Canis lupus familiaris: one gene and its partners. The protein of the gene in region 4 interacts with the protein of the main gene of each other region in a pairwise test. Links are inferred from orthologs where the notes say so. Each region holds a gene or a part of one and is shown on either strand. Other genes may lie near its edges.

Evidence for each region.
Region 1: the proteins of SPG21 (region 4) and MID2 interact in binary tests that used the Homo sapiens proteins (3 or more experiments, as listed by UniProt). The two-hybrid records come from large-scale screens. The link is inferred for Canis lupus familiaris from reciprocal best matches to the Homo sapiens genes SPG21 and MID2.
Region 2: the proteins of SPG21 (region 4) and S100B interact in binary tests that used the Homo sapiens proteins (3 or more experiments, as listed by UniProt). The two-hybrid records come from large-scale screens. The link is inferred for Canis lupus familiaris from reciprocal best matches to the Homo sapiens genes SPG21 and S100B.
Region 3: the proteins of SPG21 (region 4) and DTX2 interact in binary tests that used the Homo sapiens proteins (3 or more experiments, as listed by UniProt). The two-hybrid records come from large-scale screens. The link is inferred for Canis lupus familiaris from reciprocal best matches to the Homo sapiens genes SPG21 and DTX2.
Region 5: the proteins of SPG21 (region 4) and ATPAF2 interact in binary tests that used the Homo sapiens proteins (3 or more experiments, as listed by UniProt). The two-hybrid records come from large-scale screens. The link is inferred for Canis lupus familiaris from reciprocal best matches to the Homo sapiens genes SPG21 and ATPAF2.

Annotation. Positions count from the first base shown.
Region 1 is NC_049260.1:81,966,852-81,971,171, forward strand, and holds the start of MID2 (probable E3 ubiquitin-protein ligase MID2), read left to right. Parts: upstream 1-1,376; 5' UTR 1,377-1,497; coding exon 1,498-1,501; exon of another isoform or gene 1,502-1,592; intron 1,593-2,116; exon of another isoform or gene 2,117-2,138; intron 2,139-4,320. UniProt on the Homo sapiens protein: E3 ubiquitin ligase that plays a role in microtubule stabilization. Mediates the 'Lys-48'-linked polyubiquitination of LRRK2 to drive its localization to microtubules and its proteasomal degradation in neurons.
Region 2 is NC_049252.1:39,767,513-39,769,750, reverse strand, and holds the end of S100B (protein S100-B), read left to right. Parts: intron 1-623; coding exon 624-764; 3' UTR 765-1,710; downstream 1,711-2,238. UniProt on the Homo sapiens protein: Small zinc- and- and calcium-binding protein that is highly expressed in astrocytes and constitutes one of the most abundant soluble proteins in brain.
Region 3 is NC_049227.1:7,519,536-7,523,831, forward strand, and holds the start of DTX2 (probable E3 ubiquitin-protein ligase DTX2), read left to right. Parts: upstream 1-1,320; 5' UTR 1,321-1,800; intron 1,801-1,942; exon of another isoform or gene 1,943-2,061; intron 2,062-2,990; exon of another isoform or gene 2,991-3,155; intron 3,156-4,296. UniProt on the Homo sapiens protein: Regulator of Notch signaling, a signaling pathway involved in cell-cell communications that regulates a broad spectrum of cell-fate determinations.
Region 4 is NC_049251.1:29,783,956-29,787,672, reverse strand, and holds part of SPG21 (maspardin), read left to right. Parts: exon of another isoform or gene 1-63; intron 64-1,735; coding exon 1,736-1,844; intron 1,845-2,649; coding exon 2,650-2,757; intron 2,758-3,717. UniProt on the Homo sapiens protein: May play a role as a negative regulatory factor in CD4-dependent T-cell activation.
Region 5 is NC_049226.1:41,692,576-41,696,987, forward strand, and holds the start of ATPAF2 (ATP synthase mitochondrial F1 complex assembly factor 2), read left to right. Parts: upstream 1-1,535; 5' UTR 1,536-1,671; coding exon 1,672-1,804; intron 1,805-4,412. UniProt on the Homo sapiens protein: Plays a role in the assembly of the F1 component of the mitochondrial ATP synthase (ATPase).

The DNA of each region.
Region 1 (4,320 bases), on a different chromosome or scaffold from region 4:
CTATTGGTTCCTTCATGGGAGACTCCCAGAGCTACCTTAATTTTTCTGGACTCGTTCCCATGCACAGTAATGGGAGGCCTATGAGAAAGGGGAGTGTTTCCTTTCATTTTCTCTCTTCTCTCTCCTTCCTCTCCCCCTTTGATCCCACCTTAGGTACAGAATCTCCTCTGGGGCCTCCTCCTCCTTTCCTCTCTCATCCTCTTTGTGAGTGGGGTGGTGGTCTCTGAGCCAATGACAGGTCAGCCAAGAGGCTGACTCCAGACCAATGAGGCTTCCGGGTTCCAGATGGACCAATTAGCTTATTAGGGACATTATACCTGGATGGCTGGCATCTGTCCTATTGTCCTGTTTAACGACCCTCTTGTTTTGCCCATCAAGGATTTGGATGTGCAGATGAGACTCTACTCTCTTTTGTTTTTCTAAAATTTTGGTGGCTTTAATCCATCTCCACAACTTCTGCCCAAGGCCAATAAAACACAGGCATTCTCCCTTTGTAAAAAGAAAGAGGGGTTGGGTTTCCTTCAATTGTCTGCCCTTTTATGTGTCCTCCACTATTTTTGTTTTACTTGGTAGTTAACTTTGCACCGGAGCGGCTTCATCTGAGAACCAGTGCGGTGGACCTAGGCACTCTCTTGTCGTTGCTGGTGGCGATGGCCTTTTCCTTGTTCTAACCTGGTGGCTTGTGCGATCAGAGGGTTGGCGGGTGGGAAAAGAGTTTGGCCATAGTCTTCCTTCTGCATTTCGTACACATTCTGCGCTCTCTCTCTCTCTCTGTCTTTCGCTCACACACACATACACACACGCGCTCGCACACACACGCCCGCTCGAGCCCCTCGGTGTGTCTTCCTTCAAGATGACAGGGCGCTGGAGAAAAAGCTGCTGGAATCAGCTGGTAGGTACCGTAGTAACCCGAACCCCACCCACCCGCTGCCTTGGCTTGCTCAGGTTTCTCCGGTCACTCCAGCCAGGGGAGAAAACCTGTAAACGCGCCTCCACAGGAGGGGCTGGGGGAGCTGGGAGCGGCGGGGGTGGAGGAAGGTGAGACCGGGAAGGTGGTCAAGCGCCCCTGGTACCCGGGGCCCTTCGCAGTGTTACCTCGGGGCGCCAGCCCCAGCCCTGTTTGCCCCCCACCCCCCTTTTCGTAGGGATTGCCTTTTTTTTTTTTTTTTCCTCTGCGGCGGCGGAAATGACAGTGTGGTGCTGCCGTGGTGTCATGGTGCTGCCCCTGGACGAAAGGGCTAAAACTCTTTAAGTTCGTCTCTGGAGACCCAGCTGCGGTAGCGTCGCGGCTGCCGTGCTGTCTCTCGCGGGGCGCGCGGGCGGGCGGATCCCGGCTGCTGCGCGGCGGCGGCGGCGGCGGCGAAGGCGGGCGGCGGCCTAGAGAGGCGGCGGCGGCCCGGGAGCTCGCGCCGGAGCCCGAGCCAGCTCCCAGCGGAGGCAGGCGAGCGCCCGGCGCCCTCGGGCGCGCCAAGGAGATGGCTGGCACCCGGGAACGCTATGGGTAAAACGCGCCCCCTCGCCACGGCCCCGAGAGCCGAGGGGCACCGCCCGCACTCGGCTCGACCCGGGCTCCGGTTCCGGCCGCCTCTCAGGTGCCATTGGGGCCCGGCACGGGGCCCAGGGCCCCGGGGCTCGGCGGGGCGGCGTGACGGGGCACCGCGAGGCTCGAGGTGGCGGTGTCGGCGGTGGGGGCCCCGGCCTGGCCTGGGTGCCCGTCGCTGCCCTCTTGGGACGGAGTTTGCACTCCGGGGTGTGGGGCGGGGGCGGCCCGAGGCCTCCAGCGCCCCGACTCGCCTGGCGCGGGCAGTCGAGCGGCTGCCCCGGTGCCTGTGCGTGAGTCTGGGAAAGGGCACCGCCGCCTTCCCACGCTCCCGCGGCCGATAGCCTTCTTGACACGGGCGGCGCCCCTCGACCGGCCCTCCACGCGGCAGTGGCTGCTGCAGCAGCCAGGGATGCTGCGGACACCCTGCCGGCGGGGAGGCCAGATGAAACTTACTCCCTTTTCTGCCAGGGGAGCGATTCCCGGGTCTCCGTCTGGGTGGTTCCTTATTTCTGGCCTAGCCTTGAAACCAGCTCAGTGGGAGAGAGGGAAAACTTCTCTATGTCCAGAGGACAGACTGCGACCGTACCGGGGAGAGGTAGGGTTTTTCCATTCCTGCCTCTTAAGAATGGAGTAAATAACGGCGGACTAGATTTACAGAAACAGTTTCGGTAATGATGAGCTTTAGGCCACTTAGCACTTTGTGTGTAGCACATTATTTCTTGGAGGCGTTTTGTGGTTTTGTGGTTGTGTGTGTGTGTGTGTCTGTTTGTTGTTGTTTGATTGTTTTTTTTTTCTTTTTTTTTCTTTATTGGTTCTCCCTCCCACCCAAACCCCACAGAGCAGGAAATTGGGATCCTGGGGTCTTGAGTTTTCTTCACTTTCTCTCTTCCATGCTCCCTTACCCTTCTTCGCAATCACTTGCCCTCTTCCTGCGTTGTCACACACCTACCTGCCCACCCAGGTCTCCCAGCAGAACGCACCGTCCCCCCCAGACTAACCCCCACCAACCTGCGTGCGTGCTCCACCTGCCTCCCAGCCCTCCAGCCTCTTGCTCCTCAACCAATTTGCCTTTTTGAGGATTTCTGAGTGTGGGGTAGGTGCATGGTGATGGTTGTGTGCCTGTGAGGAGGAGCCCTGATACAGGAATATAGTGGAAACTGTATAAAAAGACCAGTCATGTATGTGGTTGATTCCTTGGATTCTCTAGTTGGGCGGCAAGGGCTGCCTTGAACCCTATTCTGTTCCCTCCCAATGCTCTCTAATCACTTCTCTGGTGATGTTCCAATAGAAGGGAAATGCTGAATAATAGGGAGCTTCTCTCTCCTCCTTCTGGCTTGACTCTAGCTGATTACCCCAACCCTCACATGCCCCCTTTTCTCCCCTCTGCAATCCTACTGACTGCCCTAAGGGAGAAACAGTCTGCTATTTTTATATATGCCTGCCCAATCAATTACCTTAATATAGATACATAATGTGAACGAGATTTTTCCTGGTCGTTCCTCACAACTGGATTTCTGTGGTTGAAATATGGGTCTAGGAGTCAGGAAGATCAGAGAGTTTATCCCAAATCTGACATCACATTGGTTTTATGGCCCTAGGACATTCCTATGACCTTTCTTTTATACTTGGTGTACTTGTGTAAAAGGCATAATACTGTATACTGGGCATTTTGAGGCTCTGCTTGGTCTTTTGAAGATGAAAGGGTTCTATAAACTCTCAGCATTACGCTTTTCAAATAAAGCGCTTCATTTACCTTTTTATGGGGATAATAGCTGGACTGGGTGTGAGGAGGAACTCTGGTTTACTGGAAACCCTAACTTACCATCCTTAGCCACCCTCCACCCCAGGAGCCAAATCTATCACCATACTCAGGACTCTGTTGTTTGTTGTTCCTAAAGCATGTACAACTGAATGAAAACATGCATAAAACTAGGCATACGGAGTAATGGTGATTATTTTAAGTTGAAGCTTGAATCATATCTAATGTACTCCAACCTAACAGTCTGAGTCAGACTCATTTGCAAACATAACCTCACCCATTTTTAGCCTGTATGGGGGCAGTTAATTTCTACTGAAAAGCGGCATAAATAATTTTAGGCCTGGCAATAGGAGCATGATTAGCATCTAGCAGCAGTGAGTCAACAATATTTACTGAGCACCTACAGTGTGCAGAGTTCTCTGCTGATGGGGCCAAGTTCCAGGTCTTGGCCTTCATATTTGGCCTCCTCATTTGAGGCCTCCTTCCTTACCTGCAGCACCCGGAGTAGGACAGGGAGGAGCAAGACAGGGGTAGAGGCTAGGGAAAACAAAGGGCTGATTGGCTCCCTCTTTCATGACCACTAGATCTCACCTGGCACGTTGTACCTTGCACGGTCACCCTGGGAAGCCCTGCTACAGGCCCCAGTGACTTAGTTTCCTCATGACTCTATCATCTGAACAGCGCAAATTGAGATGAAATTGGTTTAGTTAATCCCTCCTCGGAGTGCATGGCAACTTGCTCCAACTTGCAGATCTTAAATCGGTGCCAGGGGAGTCTCATAATTGCATCCAAAAATTGCTCTGGGTAGTGAGCCCATCCATTCCCTCATCCTTCCATAAAATCTGCTGATGCCATGACAGTTGAGAAGGAAACTGCAGGAAGACTAGGTCTTTCCCACTCAGCAGACCTCGTTGGCTTGGTAGAAGAGGAGAGAATGTCCTCTTTTCACTCTCTCTATCAGGACTCAGGTTCTCTCTTTCCCAGCAGAGTCCCAGACCCCTAAAAAGAGGTGAGGGCA
Region 2 (2,238 bases), on a different chromosome or scaffold from region 4:
AGCTTTAAAAGCTTAGCACGTGGGAACCAGTTTATAAAATAGTTCACGGTGAGCGCGGCCGGGGGTCATTGCAGAGAAAACACTTTCAAAACCCGAAACCTGGGGATCCCTGGGTGGCGCAGCGGTTTAGCGCCTGCCTTTGGCCCAGGGCGCGATCCTGGAGACCCAGGATCGAATCCCACGTCGGGCTCCCGGTGCATGGAGCCTGCTTCTCCCTCTGCCTGTGTCTCTGCCTCTCTCTCTCTCTCTCACTGTGTGCCTATCATAAAAAAAACAAAAACAAAAACAAAAACAAAAAAACCCCGAAACCTGCGGGAAGGACTTCCACACGCAGTGAGGAGCTCGGGGAGAAGCAGAAGTCCGTGCTTCTGTCCATGACGCCATCCTCCGCGGCCCCCTGGATGTGAGCCCGGCGACGGCGGGCGGCGGGGGCACATACCCCGCATGTCCCACGGTGCCTTTCTGGGAGCGTCCGGTGGGGGAGACGCTGGGGCCCCGGCCCCTCTGCCGCCCCGTGAACATTCTCTCTGCTGCGGACACGTCGCTGCGGTGGCCGAGGGTCAGGGACGCGCCGCGGGCCTCGGCTCATCGTAAGCGGCGGCGCAATTTGTCCTCTCTCGTAGGAGATCAAGGAGCAGGAGGTCGTGGACAAGGTCATGGAGACACTGGACAGTGACGGAGACGGCGAGTGCGACTTCCAGGAGTTCGTGGCCTTCGTGGCTATGGTCACCACCGCCTGCCACGAGTTCTTCGAGCACGAGTGAGGCGCAGCCGCGCAGGAAGCGGAGCGGGGCCGAGTCCCTGGCGCCGTGTAGCTGATTAGGAAGCTTGACGTGCTTTGTCGAGGAGACGCCGACCCCCTTTCCCGGGGCTGACCTCGGGGCCCCCATCCTCCGCTGACGGTCCGTGCGACGCGGTCACGATCCTCAGGAGGGTGTGTGCTCCGCCCGTGGTCAGGGCCGCGCACCCCCCCCCCCCAACAACGCAGCTGCCGGGACCCAAAGGATGGCTCTGGACGCACGTGGGTCCTTGTCCAAAGTACCAAGTTAGAGACGCAGCTTCGCCCCGTATCCTGTGAGAAGCCTGCCTTTTCCTAAAATGGGTTTGTCATCCGTGCGAAGGAAACCCAGGGTCGGGAGGTGGCCTGACACGCCTGCCGCCAGACGGCCAGGGCATGCTGTCCCCGGGTCCCCGCTGAGCCATGGGAGCTCAGCAAACAGGGCTACAGCACTGGGCGGGGGCAGGGGGGGCGGGTCTCCCGGCTGTCAGGGCCGACACCGCATTCTAACCACCTTCAGCGGGGCTCCTGTGCCCCGGGTCACACGTTGGTGCCGAGGCAGGAGCGCGGCTCCCAGCAGGGCGTCCACGCCCCTCCGCACACAGGTGTTCTGCAAACAGCCCCTCTGGCCTCCCCTCCTGTCTGGGAAGCGCAGGTGTCGTTCCTCACTTGCTTGTGCCGAGACAGGGTCTGCCCCGCAGCGGTTGGTGGAGCCCGAGTACGTGGGAAGCTCGACGTCACACATGGGTACCCACGAATCCAAACGTTCAAGTATTAAGTCACTTCCGGGAAAGTTCAGATTAACCTTTTCTGCCCCTTTCCCTGCTGCTTCTTTACGTGCACAGACCTGGAAACCCATAAGCCAATTGATCGCTTGTGTTTGCATCGAATAAAGAGAGCATTGTAACGGGTCCCCGTGGCCTTGAACAGGAGGCTGGAGGGAAACTGCTGCAAAGGGGGGGAAGCAGTAAGGGGCAGGCACAGGAGGCCCCCCAGAGCCAGGCGGGTGCACAGGGCCCGGGACCCTGGGATGTGCCGGGGCGGCAGGGAGTAGATGCGGCGGGGTGGGGGCAGGAGGGCCGGAGGGCAGGCCAGCACCGGGTGGGACACACCCTGGCCGAGGCTCCCACCCTGGACGCAGCGCTGGGGGGCAGGGGGGGCGGGGGGACTCGGAGACAATGGTGGCGGAAGCCAGCGCGCAGGGACCATGTGCAGGGACGGCCCATCCTGCACCCCTGGATCTGTGTCTACACCGCAGTCCCTGCCGGGCGATCCGCAGGCCTTCCTGCCGCAGAGGACGGGGGACAGGGCAGCTGGGATGCCGAGCAGGGTGCAGCGGGTGTGTGGCAGCCCGGGCGGGCCCTGCAGGGCTGGAGCCTGACGCCCCAGGGCCTCCGCCGCCAGGGCCCCTTGCTAAGGAGCAGGTCCCTGGAGGAGCCCTCACAGTAGAAACGCCCCGA
Region 3 (4,296 bases), on a different chromosome or scaffold from region 4:
GCCTATATCCTCCAAGTCAGGTCCTGGATCACAGAGTCGAGTCCTAAACTAGGGTCCCAGAAGTGGGCCTGCCACAGGCACTCCTTCCTCTGCTTCATTGACTTTGGGTGGATTAGTCTCCCCTCTGAGCCTCAGCTCCCTTTTCTATAAAATAAAGTTTTCAACTGAATGATGGGGGCGGGGTGTGGAGAGGTATCTTTTCCTTAAATCCCTGATGAAGTATGAGTGACATTAGATTATGTAAAGATACTCAACTAGAGGCCAAGATTCAGAGACCTCTTAACCCCCTGGAACTGTGTGCAAGATTGTATATGTGACATGTATGTACACGTGTGTGAACATTTCTATCTGAGCATGTTTTAGGAATAGATCTATTTATCTTTGTGAAGGAGGTCTGTGATCCCAGAAGAGTAGTCACCGACCTAGTTCAGACCTTTTTTTTTTTAAAAAAAAGATTTTATTTATTTATTCATGAGAGACAGAGAGAGGCAGAGGGAGAAGCAGGCTCCCTATGGGGAGCCTGATGGGGAATTTGATCTCAGGACACACACCCCCTCCCCCCACCCCCGCCATCACAACCTGAGCCAAAGGCAGATGCTTAACCACTGAGACACCCAGGTGCCCCTGGTTCAGACCTTCTATCTGAACTATAGATATAGTTCAGACTATATCAAGATCTGATATATATGGGCAGCCCCGGTGGCGCAGCGGTTTAGTGCTGCCTGCAGCTCAGGCAGGGCATGATCCTGGAGACCCTGGATCGAGTCCCACGTCAGGCTCTCTGCATGGAGCCTGCTTCTCCCTCTGCCTGTGTCTCTGCCTCTCCCTCTATGAATAAGTAAAATCTTTTTTAAAAAAAAGATTATATATATATATATATATGACTATAGCAAGAGCCTCCAAACTGGTCTCCCTACTCCTTTGTTCCTTAAACGTGTCCTCCACCTATCACACAGGGTATCATTCCTTTGTTTGAATCTTTCTTTTGGCCTTAGTGGCAAAAAGAAATGCATAGTATTTAAAGACATTCATAATCTTACCCAGCCTGGTCCCCACACTCATATCCTGACACACCCTAATCTATTTCCTCTGTCCTCAGCCCCTCTGTGTACCCTCCTGCCCTGGCTACAGGGAACGTTTCACTGCTTCCTGAATGCATCAAGCACTTTCACATCTCTCTTCCTTTGCAGGAGCTTCCCTGTACTTCATCTGGCAAACCCTCGTGTGTGCTTCAAAATCCAACTCAGGCGTCCCACCCCTTTGTGATGTCTCCCTGACACCTCCTCCAAATGAACCACACCCTCTGTGCTCCAACTCCTGTGCTTAAAGTCACATTTATCCCACTGTACTGTAATTATGTGTTTGAGTGTCTGTCTGCCCAAGCAGATATGAACTTCTCCCAGCAGAGAAACCAAGTTTCTGACTCACGTTTGGAGCCTCAGGACCCAGCACGGGGCATGGCACCACATGTGTACGGGTAATGACTATCTAAAATGAGTCAGTAAGTTAATGAAGGAGTAAGTCAGTGAGTGAACAGACCAAGAAGGAAGAATAGATACACCTGAACCGGTGCGCGTGGGATTGGGTCCCGCCCCGCCCCCAACACATGGAACTACATTTCCCAGAAGACCCCGCGACCTGGGCATGCGCACTGGAGAGCTAGGAAGCTGCGACGCCGAGTTTCACTCTGGCTGCCTCCTCAGAGTCGGAGCTTCAGCCGGAGCGGTGCCCAGGCCGGCCCGAGCTGCAGCCCCAGCGCGGCGGTGCCCTCACCCGGCCCCCTCGTCTTCCTCAGCCTCGGTGAGAGGGGCGGGCGGGCCACCTGCCCGTCGCCAGGGCTGGGGTCCCGGGGACGCGGGGGGGACTGAGCCGAACTGGGACCGGAAGGGGGCGGGCGTGGGACTGAGGGAGGGCCGGGCCGGGCCGGGGAAGAGCCCCGTGGTGAGGTCCGGGGGGACTGGGAGGACCCGCCGCGGGGCTGGCCCGGGGCCGCGGCCGCCGGAGGCGGGAGCTGGGAGAATCGGGCGCGCTGGCAGCTTTGGGACGGGTCTGGGTGCGAGGGTGAGCGCCGGGTGGGAGCCGAAGGGCTGGCAGGGGGAGGGGCGCAGACCCCGGGAGTTCGGGGCCGTGGCGAGGAGGACACCCCTTCCCACAGGGGCGGGCGGAGGCGCTGGAGATCCCGTCACTGGGCTCCGGGGCTCGCGGGGTCGATTCTCCTGGGTTCTGGCTTCGGGCGGACGACTTGCTGCAGCCCGGGGCTGTACTTTTTGAAAGAGTTTGCCCCCAAACTCTGCTTCCCTGCCTCAGGTAGGGGTCGCCCTCCGGGAAACTCCGGTTTCCTGGGGGCCCTGGGTTCCTTTTGAGGGTTGCGTAATGTACGTCGGAGAGGATTTAGACGACTTTTTTTTTATTTTTCTGAACCTGCCCTGTCGCCCACTCCGCTCCCCTCCCCTCCAACCAGCTGCTCCCTTCCACACTGGTTCCACTTCCCTAAGTGCCAGTAACAGTGGAAATAGTGTGTGCACGCACAGGCTCCCGGACCGTTAAGAATTAATTCAAGAATACTTCTGCCTGCTATCCTCTAGAGTTCTAGAAGGTCGACGTTGTGGTAGCCAAAATCGGGCTTTACCCTCACGGTAACTATAACTGGGCCTCTTACTCATTTGCTGCGTGACCTTGGCCAAACTTTTACCTTCTCTGGTGTGTTAATCTCCTGGATTCTTACACTGCAGACTGACTTAGGAAGCCCATTTAGGCCTTTCCGTGAAAGAGCTGAGGTGTGTGTGTGTGTGTGTTTCCACCATCCCCTTGATTATTGAGTGGGTAGAGGGAGACTGTTGTACCTTCTGTCCTGCCCAGGCTGTTGAAAAATAAATCTGGTGGTTTCCAGTCCCCGGCCGCAGCGCACAGACCCAACATCTGTGCATTCGTTTTCACTGACTGCTGTTTCTCAATTTAAAACCTGATCATCTTTTTCCTTGTTGGCAAAGGTGCCCTGGAATTTGTGTTGCTGAGTCAGCAAGGCTTTCCGATTTGCTCGGTTTTTGTTGTTTGCATTTTATATCAAGATGGGAACTCAAACAAGTCATTCCTCCTAAGGATCTAGTGTCTCTGTCAAGAAGGGACAGTTTGTGCCAGCTCTCCAGAGAGAAAAGGTAAGAGTGACAGGGACTTCACATTGCTGCCTTCTGGATCTGGTTTTCAGTAGAGGAGGTGGAGACTGGGGAGGGTGAAATTTGAGGTCTCCCGGATGAAAGTCAGCCTTGGGAGTTGATTGTTGATTGCCAACTGTCTCAAATAAAGTCAAGTGCTTTCTTGCCAAGGGCTTCTTCTGTTAAACCAGGCTTAGAGGATGCTTTACACATGGTTTTCACTTAAGACATGCTTTATGGGGTGAAGGACACAAGTCATGATTTCTGCATCTGAGCTGGAAATTTTATTTCTTTTGTTGCCCGCACAAAACTGGGTGCCTTCTTTGTGTCAAGCCCCATGCTCAATGGTGGGGCACAGTGATGAGTGAGAAGAGCTCTGTCACCTGGGAGCTCATCATTTGGTGGAATGGACTGTCCGTTCCTAGACAGACCCTAGACAGTGGCAAGGAGTTGTTGGTGTGCTATGTGTTGAGGTGGGAGGAATCACAGGGCAGAGCCCCAGCCCCTCGACCAGGGGCTGTCCAGGAAGGGATAGGAGGGAAGGGTCAGCAAGCTTCTAGAAGAACATAATTGAGCTGAGTTGTGAAGGACTTGAAAAGGAGAGCAGAAGCCTGGCAGAGGAGTGGGCATCTGCAGAGTCCAGAAGTTACCTGGTACGCATGGGCCAATGTAAGTAGCTCTATGTGGCTAGAGCAACAGGGATGGGTGTGAGGTGGAGGAGGCTGGTTAGGTAGGCAGAGGGAAAGTGTGGATGGTTTTGTGGGCCGCACTAAGGCTCTGGGAAGCAGGATTTTAGCAGAATTCCATGAGGGCATTTTACATGAGCACACTGGCTAGAAAGTATGAATGGATTAGACTGGATTATTCTCTTTGTGACTGTTTCTTTACACCATGCCAGCTTTTGATAGAGGAAGAGTTAGACATAGATGTTGCCCTCAGTTTCTTCATAGTCTCCTTGAAGAGATAGAATGGACATAGAGAACTGTAAAGGGCAGGCAAGTGCTGTGGAAGTTGAGAAGAGGGTGTTTTCTTTCAGTTGGGCATCTCGAGGCATCATGGAAGTACGTTTAAATTGGGTCTTGAAAGGAAGTCTGAGTGGCCCAGTCTGTTGAGCATCTGCCTTTGACTCAGATCATGATCCCGG
Region 4 (3,717 bases):
CTCAGTTGGTAGAGCATGAGACTTTTGATCTCTGGGTCATGAGTTTGAGCCCCATGTTGGGCATATAGCTTACTTAAAAAAAGATTGTACTCTGTTCTTTCTAAAACCTTTGCTTGATATTATCTCAGTAGTCAGTTCAGCATTTGTGCAACAGTTTCTTACATACATTTACTACAAAAATAGTTCATGTCCACACAATGCACTAAAGCTCACTGATTATTTTTGACGATTTTTAAAAAGATTTATTTATTTATTTATTTGAGACACAGAGAGACAGAGTGAGAGAGAGAGCATGTAAGGAGCCTGATGTGAGACTCTATCCCGGGTCTCCAGGATCAGGCCCTGGGCTAAAGGCAGCGCTAAACCGCTGAGCCACCTGGGCTGCCCATTTTTGACAATTTTTGGCGATTTTAATGTTGTTTTAGTTGTCAGAACCAAGAAAGCCCCCACTTTGTGTTCCAGCACGTGAGCTACATTTTATCAACTATCTGAGTGCTTGCTGTGTACCACCCATTGAGGCCACAGGGTCAAGCAAAGCCAGGAGGGTCTGCCCCTCACGAGGTGCCTAGGTAGGATCACCTTGAGAAGCTAAGGGGGATCCCTGGGTGGCGCAGCGGTTTGGCGCCTGCCTTTGGCCCAGGGCGCGATCCTGGAGACCCAGGATCGAATCCCACATCAGGCTCCCGGTGCATGGAGCCTGCTTCTCCCTCTGCCTGTGTCTCTGCCTCTCTCTCTCTCTCTCTCTCTGTGACTATCATAAATAAATAAAAAAAAAAAAAAAAAAAAAGAGAAGCTAAGGAAGCCATAGGGGTTGGGTTGGAGAAAGGTAATGAAGGATGGCCAGCTGTCCTCGTGAGGGATGCTCACCTTCCAACAAGCCATTCCATGGAAAAGGCACATCAGAAGGTGGTCTCTTCCTTTTTTAAGTCATTTTCAGCATAGGTTTGGAGAAAGTAGTGTTCACCCTATATAATGGCTCTGAACATTCATAATTAATGGCATAAATACCAACTAAAAATCACATATAGAAATTCATAAATTGAATTGCCTTGAATTAGTGCAGTTGAATCTACTAGTAGCAAACTTTGGAAGGTACAATCATTCTTTCATTTTGCTATTTTGAAATACCGAGCAATCAAAAGGTGATAAAAACCTGAAGGTTGAAATCTTAAGTTTTCAGGTTTTTGTTTTTTTTTAAGATTTATTTATTTTACAGAGGGAGAGAGAATGTGAGGGACAGAGGGAGAGGGAGACTCTCCAGAAGACTCCCTCCTGAGCACGGAGCCCACTGTGGAGCTCGACCCCTCAACCCTGAGATCATGACCTGAGCCAAAATCCAGAGTCGGCCACTTAACCGACTGAGCCACACAGGCAGCCCACATTTTCCATTTTCTAAGGAGAATAGTTTTAGCCATTGGAAATAAGGCCAATTAGTAAAACCAAAACCAAAACTCAGAATTATCAAAATGTCTACCTTGGTAAAGATATTTGAAATACTGCTTATAATTATTCCAAATCCTCAAATAAAACTTGACTATATTAAACCATAACTCTTTTAGGAGCTCGGGAAAATTTACATAAAAATATGATGCTTCAAAACCAGCTCTTTGAAAGAAGAGACTAGATCATTTTATCTTTAGATCCTAAGTAGCTAATACAGAGCTTCAATATCGAATGAATATTTGCCATTTTTGTGTGGTCTTGCAGATTTGATGATCAGGTCTTTGTTTTACAGCTTTTGGCTGATGCCATCATTTATGCTCAAAAAAATCGTTCTCGGAAACTTTTCATCTGGCCCAGTGGACCCTATGATGGCTGATGCTATTGATTTTATGGTGGACAGGGTAAGGATTTTGGCATTAGAATGGGAACACTTTGTACTAGGAATCTCCATGTCTCCCTAGTTCTTGATGATAGATCTGTCTCGTTGAGTATGTTAGAGATGTTTGTTAAGCAGTCTTCCATATTTACTTTAATATACCCAACAGATGTTACTCCTGGGAAGTAATTCATCAGAATCACTTGGGAGGAGCTTTTAAAAATACAGATTCCGGGGGCACCTGGCTGGCTCAGTTCGTGGAACGTGTGACTCTTGATCTCAGGATCATGAGTTCAAGCCCCATGTTGGGCATGGAACCTACTTCAAAAAAAAAAAAAAAAAAATACAGATTCCAAGGCCTTGCCAGCCCACTGAACTGGAATCCATGGGCATAGGGTCTGGGAATTTGCATTTTTACTCTCTTCCTCCTCTCTTTCTCCCCCACAAGGGGAACCCAAAGTAGCAGGTCTACAGACTTGCATTTAGGGGCTATGGGGCTAGATGATTTTTCTGAGATCTCTTCCAGCTCCAAAATCTTGTAAAAGTGTTTATCTGTCACTTTGGGGCTTTGGGAAGTAGCCTGCTACCCACGGTTACCCGGTTGCAGAGGCAGTTCAGGGTGAGGGGTATGTAATGCTAGGTTCCCAGAATAGAACACCACCAGCTGGGAGGCCCAGTGCATGGTCTCTCAGATACATTGTATTTCCTCACTGGTGACCCGGCCCACCACACATGATGGCGCCTTTATAAGTGCAGGTATTATCTGTGGATTTAATATAACATGAGGAACAAATTTAATTCAAAAACTTTGCCTGTGTTTCTTCCTGCAGCTGGAAAGTTTGGGTCAGAGTGAACTGGCTTCAAGACTTACCCTGAATTGTCAAAATTCTTATGTGGAACCTCATAAGATTCGAGACATCCCTGTGACCATTATGGATGTAAGCTTCCTTTTAAAAAAAAATAGATGCTTTAGCTTTATAAATGTATATATCAAGAGCTTCCTCATAATTGTTTTATAATTTTTCAGTGTGCCTCTTTAAATGCTGCCTTGTGTTTGTTTTTTGTTTTTTTTTTTAACAACCACCACCACCACAGTTCTAAAACAATCAGTTTATTGCTTACCCCATATTTTCCCTGGCAGGAATAACACCATTGAAATCAGAATAAACATAAACAAACATGGTAATCCTTACCCATTTTGATGGATTTTTCTATTGTCATCACCAAATACTGTACTTTAGCTACTACACATCTGTGCAGCAAAAGTTGCCTCACAGAGGCAGAGAATCAAAAATTCCATAAAGTCTAATTAGCATGAAAGTTTGCTTCTTGTAACAAAACTTACCATTTTAACCATATTCAAGTGTACAGTTCAGAGGAGTTAAGTACATTTATGGTGTTGTGAAACTGTCACCACCATCCATTTCCAGAACTTTGCATCATCCCAAACTGAAAGTCTGTACCCATTAAACACTAGCTTGCCAGTCCCTCCTTCTCCCAGACCCTGGTAACCCACATTGTACTTTCTGCTCTATGTACTGACTATTCTGTGTATCTCATAGAAGTGGAATCACGTAATATTTGTACTTCTGTGTCTGGCTTATTTCACTTAGCAGAATATCTTCAAAGTTTATTCATGTTATAGCATGTATTAAAGGCTGAATAATATTCTGTTGTGTGTATATACCACATTTTATTTATCCATTCACCTGTTTTGTTTTTTTTTAAGATTTTATTTATTTATTCATGAGAGACACAGAGAGAGAGAGGCAGAGACACAGGCAGAAGGAGAAGCAGGCCCCATGCAGGGAGCCCGACATGGGACTTGATCCTGGGTCCCCAGGATCAGGCCCTGGGCCGAAGGTGGCGCTAAACCACTGAACCACCTGGCTGCCCCT
Region 5 (4,412 bases), on a different chromosome or scaffold from region 4:
GGGTAGACAGGCCAGGGAAACTGGGACCTGGAGGTGGCCAGAGAATGGAGGTAAGGACCATGAGAAGCCTAGAGCAGGACTTGGGGCTGCCGGCACCTGGGCCAGGAAGAGACTGGGGTGGGGGTGGGGGGGCAGGAGGCAAGATCCCAACAAACTAGGAGGAACTCCACCCAGCAGCACCCAGAATGTGAGTGCCTGGTTTTGAGGGAGTACCAAAGGCTAGGAATCAGTTGTGGGTTGGGGGCTCTCAAGCTCAGGAGCTAACGGAGGAAGTGTGCTCCCAGGTCCGAGGGAACTGCCTAGACTCTCCCAAGGAATAAATCCTGGGAGGAGGGCCCCAAGGTTTGAGGATCCCTGAGACTGAGCAAAGGGGAGGGGAGGATTGTCTCAGGTCTGGGATAATTTGACGCGGGCCCAGCCAAGGGTAAGGTCCCGAGTCAGGAGAGACCAATGGAGAGTTCTTCAGGGTGTGGGAGGGACTGAAGGGAGGGCTGCTCTCCGGGCGACAGGTCCTGGGGAAGAAGGACTGAGGTCTGAGGGTGGCCAGTGACGGGGGTGGGGTGGGGTGGGGGCTTCCGGATCCCAGGCAGGCCGGTCACGGGCTTCGAGTCTGGGAGAGTGTTCAGGGTCTGCCAGGAGCTGCTCACGACAGGCTCCGGTGTGAGGGGCAGGTCAGGGTTGGGCTTGGAGAGTGTGAGACACCAGCTGGGCAGGTCCCGGGGGGTGAAGCGCCTGGTGCAGGAGGCCCGGCGGCGAGGGCCTGGTCCGCGGCTGCGGGCTCGAGGAGCCGGGGGCGGGCACGGCCCGTGAGCGCCGCGAGGAGGCCCTCGGGCCCCGGCCCGGCCCGGCCCGGCGCTCACCTGCAGCACCACCTCTACGTCGTACGAGTTCCCCTTGCTCTTCTGGTGGCCGCGGAACTTGGAGCCGCTGTAGAGCAGGCTGGTGGCCACGCCGGGCTGCTGGGTGTTGATGGGCGGCGGCGGGATGAGCGAGGCCGCGGAGGCGGCCGAGGCACCGGCCGGCGGGGGACACTCGGTGCGGACCGGCATCGCGGGGTCCCCCGGAGCCAGGGCTGGGGGGAGGGGGAGAGGAACCGCCGCCGCCGCCGCGCGGGAGCCGAGGGGGGTGGCAGGGAGGGAGGGGCCGGGGCGCGCACGCGCGGGGTGGGGGCGGAGGGGGACCACCCGCCCGCTGCCTGCGGACCAAGCGCTCCGGCTGCCACCGGGACCCCGGGACCTGCGAGCAGGGCCTCCCTGTCCTGAGCTGAGTCCCCCTCCCCACTTGCCCTCGCACACACACCACCCTTTGGATTGGCTCAGGCGCGCCGGGGGGGCGGGAACAGGCTCACGCGGCGCTTCCACCCATTGGCGGGCGGGGAAAACACGTGGCGGGGCGCGCGAGGGGCCCTCTGGGACTTGTAGTCTTCTTCCCGAGGCGCGGCGTGGAGGGGGCGGGGCGAGGTGCGTTTGTGATGCTGATTGACTGTGGGTGTGCGCTGGAGGCGCGCTGGAGCGACGGCGCGCCGCTGGTGTCATGCGGAAGATGGCGGCGTCCAGGGGGAGGCTGAGGGCTCTGGGGAGGTGGTGAGAGGTTTCCGTACAACCCCAGCGTGCGGCTTGGGGATCCCTTCGCTCTGTTTCCTGCTCTCGTCCCCCCAGGCTCTCAGGCGCGATGTGGAGGAGCTGCCTCCGGCTGCGAGACGCCGGGTGCCGCCTCCTGACCCAGCCCCGGGGTGCCCTCGCCGCCCCGGCGCCGCCGGGGCCAACCCCCCAGGCCCCTGCCCGGGCCTACGCGCCCCCAACAGGTGAGGGAGGCGAGGGCACATTCTCTTTCGCCCAGGGCTCGAGTGGGGCAAAGGTGGGCTGAGGGATTCCAGCTGTGCAGGGCGGGGTAACTGAGGCACAGCTCAGGCTCGTGAGGTAACGCGCTTTGATCGGGTCCTGCAACAGATCAGGGAAAATAGAAGCCCAGGCAAGGGCAGACCGACCCCCCGAGGGCACACAGCGCGTCACTGCACGACACAGTAATTGCCGTTTGGCACGTGCAGCCTTTCTTAAAGCTTATGGTTTTCCTTTCCAGCAAGGAAAGCGGATGGCATTCTCGTTTTCAGGCAGGGAGATTCGGGTTCTCCATCTGGACTACACCAAGGTCACAGAGCAGGCTCAGTGGGTAGTTTGTGGAGGGCAACGGTGGGCCTGTTTTCTCTGTCCCCACGGCTGGGCACAGAAGGGTCTTGGAACCGGGGCATTCAGTTTACCTCCTGGCCCATTTCCCTTCGGGTTTCCTGTCCCTCCCTCCCATTGCCCTACCACAATCCCTGCCGTTTCTGCTAAGGAGTTGACCCTCGTGCCTCCTTTCTCTTCTTCTGAGTGATAAGGCCTACAAGAAGGTGGTGACTCGTTCACTGCTTCTGGGGAGAGGTTTTAGAGTAAGAGTGGGAGTCGCTTCTTGAAATGAGTAAAGAGTAACAACACGCTTTTCATTTAGTTTTTCTGTGCTGAGAGCTGGAGGCATGATGGTCTTCAAGGCAGGTGTGGTCCCTACCTAATGATCATTGTCGAGTATAGGTTATAATAGTCTTTTTGAACAATAACGTATAATATTCAGTATAAAGGAATTACAAAGAATCTGTGAGAACATAAAGAAGCACCTACTCCCATCTGGGGGTTCCGAGGGTCTAGAAAGGGTCTTGGATGAAAGGACATTTCAGCTGAGCCTTGACAGATGAGTTGGAGTTCAGTTGAGAGGAGGAGGAAGAGTGTTGGGTGGCCAGAACAAGTTCAGAGGTGACAGCAGGGTGTGAGCGACCTTGCTTTAACATTGCTTGCTTTAGAAAATGTAGAATTCAAAAAAAAAAAGAAAAGAAAAGAAAATGTAGAATTCTACAGGTAGTTTGACATTGTGGCAGAAGTAGATCTATATGGTCTAATGCTGACTGACCCTCTGAGATACTGCGTGGTCCTGAGTACGTGACTACTTTCTTTGGGCCTCATTTTCCTCCCTGAGTTGAAGGACTGTGTTGCCTCTGAAGGTCCTTCTGTTAAGTTTCATAATTTTTTATACATGGGGGAGAGAGCTAGATGCAGCAGGAGCTGAGGTTTCACCTGTCAGGGTCCAAGCCAAAGGGCCAAGAAAGAGGAAGAAGGAAGGTCATGTGTGATATTGTTATAAGAAGACATATACAGTTGACTCTTCAACAACATAAGGGTAGAGGCACCACTCCCACCTCCCCACCATTGAAAATTCACATATAACTTTTGACTCCCCCAAAACTTAATTACTAATAACCTACTGCTGGGCCAGAAGGTTTACCAATAGCAGTTGACTAACGCATAAGTATTCTTACGTTGGCTAGATAAAAGAAAACGTAATTTAGAAAATTAGAATCTTTAGTAAGAGATCAAGAAGAAAAGGAAATAACGTTTGCTATACTCTAGAAAATTCAGGTATAAGCTGATCTTGGCGGTGCCAACCCGTGGTGTTCAAGGGTCAACTGTCTATATTTGGCGACCCGTCTAGTTCCTGGCACACATCTCTTAAAACCCTCATAATTTACTAACCAATAAGAGCTATGGAAGAGGCTTTTGTTATAATATTTGGCCTTTTGTCTTAAAATAACTCCAGAGATAGAAAGTTGAAAGTAGTGTCTTATTCATAAACCCCTTTCAGCCACACCTGAGATTATGTTAATGAGGTGGCTTTTGGAAAGCCCCTGAGGATGGGGGCTGGTTGCTAGGGGAACCAACCACAAGGTTAGAGGTTGGGTACTTTCAGCCCCACCCTCTGACCTCGGGGGAGGGGGAGAAGGGCTGGAGAGATGGATTAATGGCCTGTGATTTAATCAATCATGCTTATTATAATGAAGCCTCTGTAAGATCCCTGAACTGGGGGGGTTCAGAGAGCTTCAGGGTTAGTGAACACATGAAGGTGCTGGAAGAGTAGCATGCCCGGAGAGGCAGGGAAGCTCCATACCCTTTCCCTATACTTTGCCCTGCATTTCTTCATGTGGCTGTTCCTGAATTGTATCCTTTTATAATAAGCTTGTAGTCTACTAGGTAAAATCTCTTTCTGAGTTCTACGAGCTGCTCTGGCAAATTCATCAAACCTGAAGAGGGATCCAGGGAACCTCTGGTTCATAGCCCGTTGGTCAGAAGCACCGGAAACGACCTGGGCCTGCAGTTGGCATCTGAAGGGAGTGGGAAAATGCAGTCTTGTGGGACTGAGCCCTCCATTTGTGGATTCGATGCCTCCTCCAGGCAGATATTATCAGAACTTAATTGAATTGTAGGACACCCAGCTGATGTCACAGGGTTGATTGGTGGCAAAACCGCCACATATTTGGAGTGGAGAATGTCTGTGTGAATGTGTAAAGGAAAACAGTTTCCTTTACAACATTCCAAGAAGATACAACA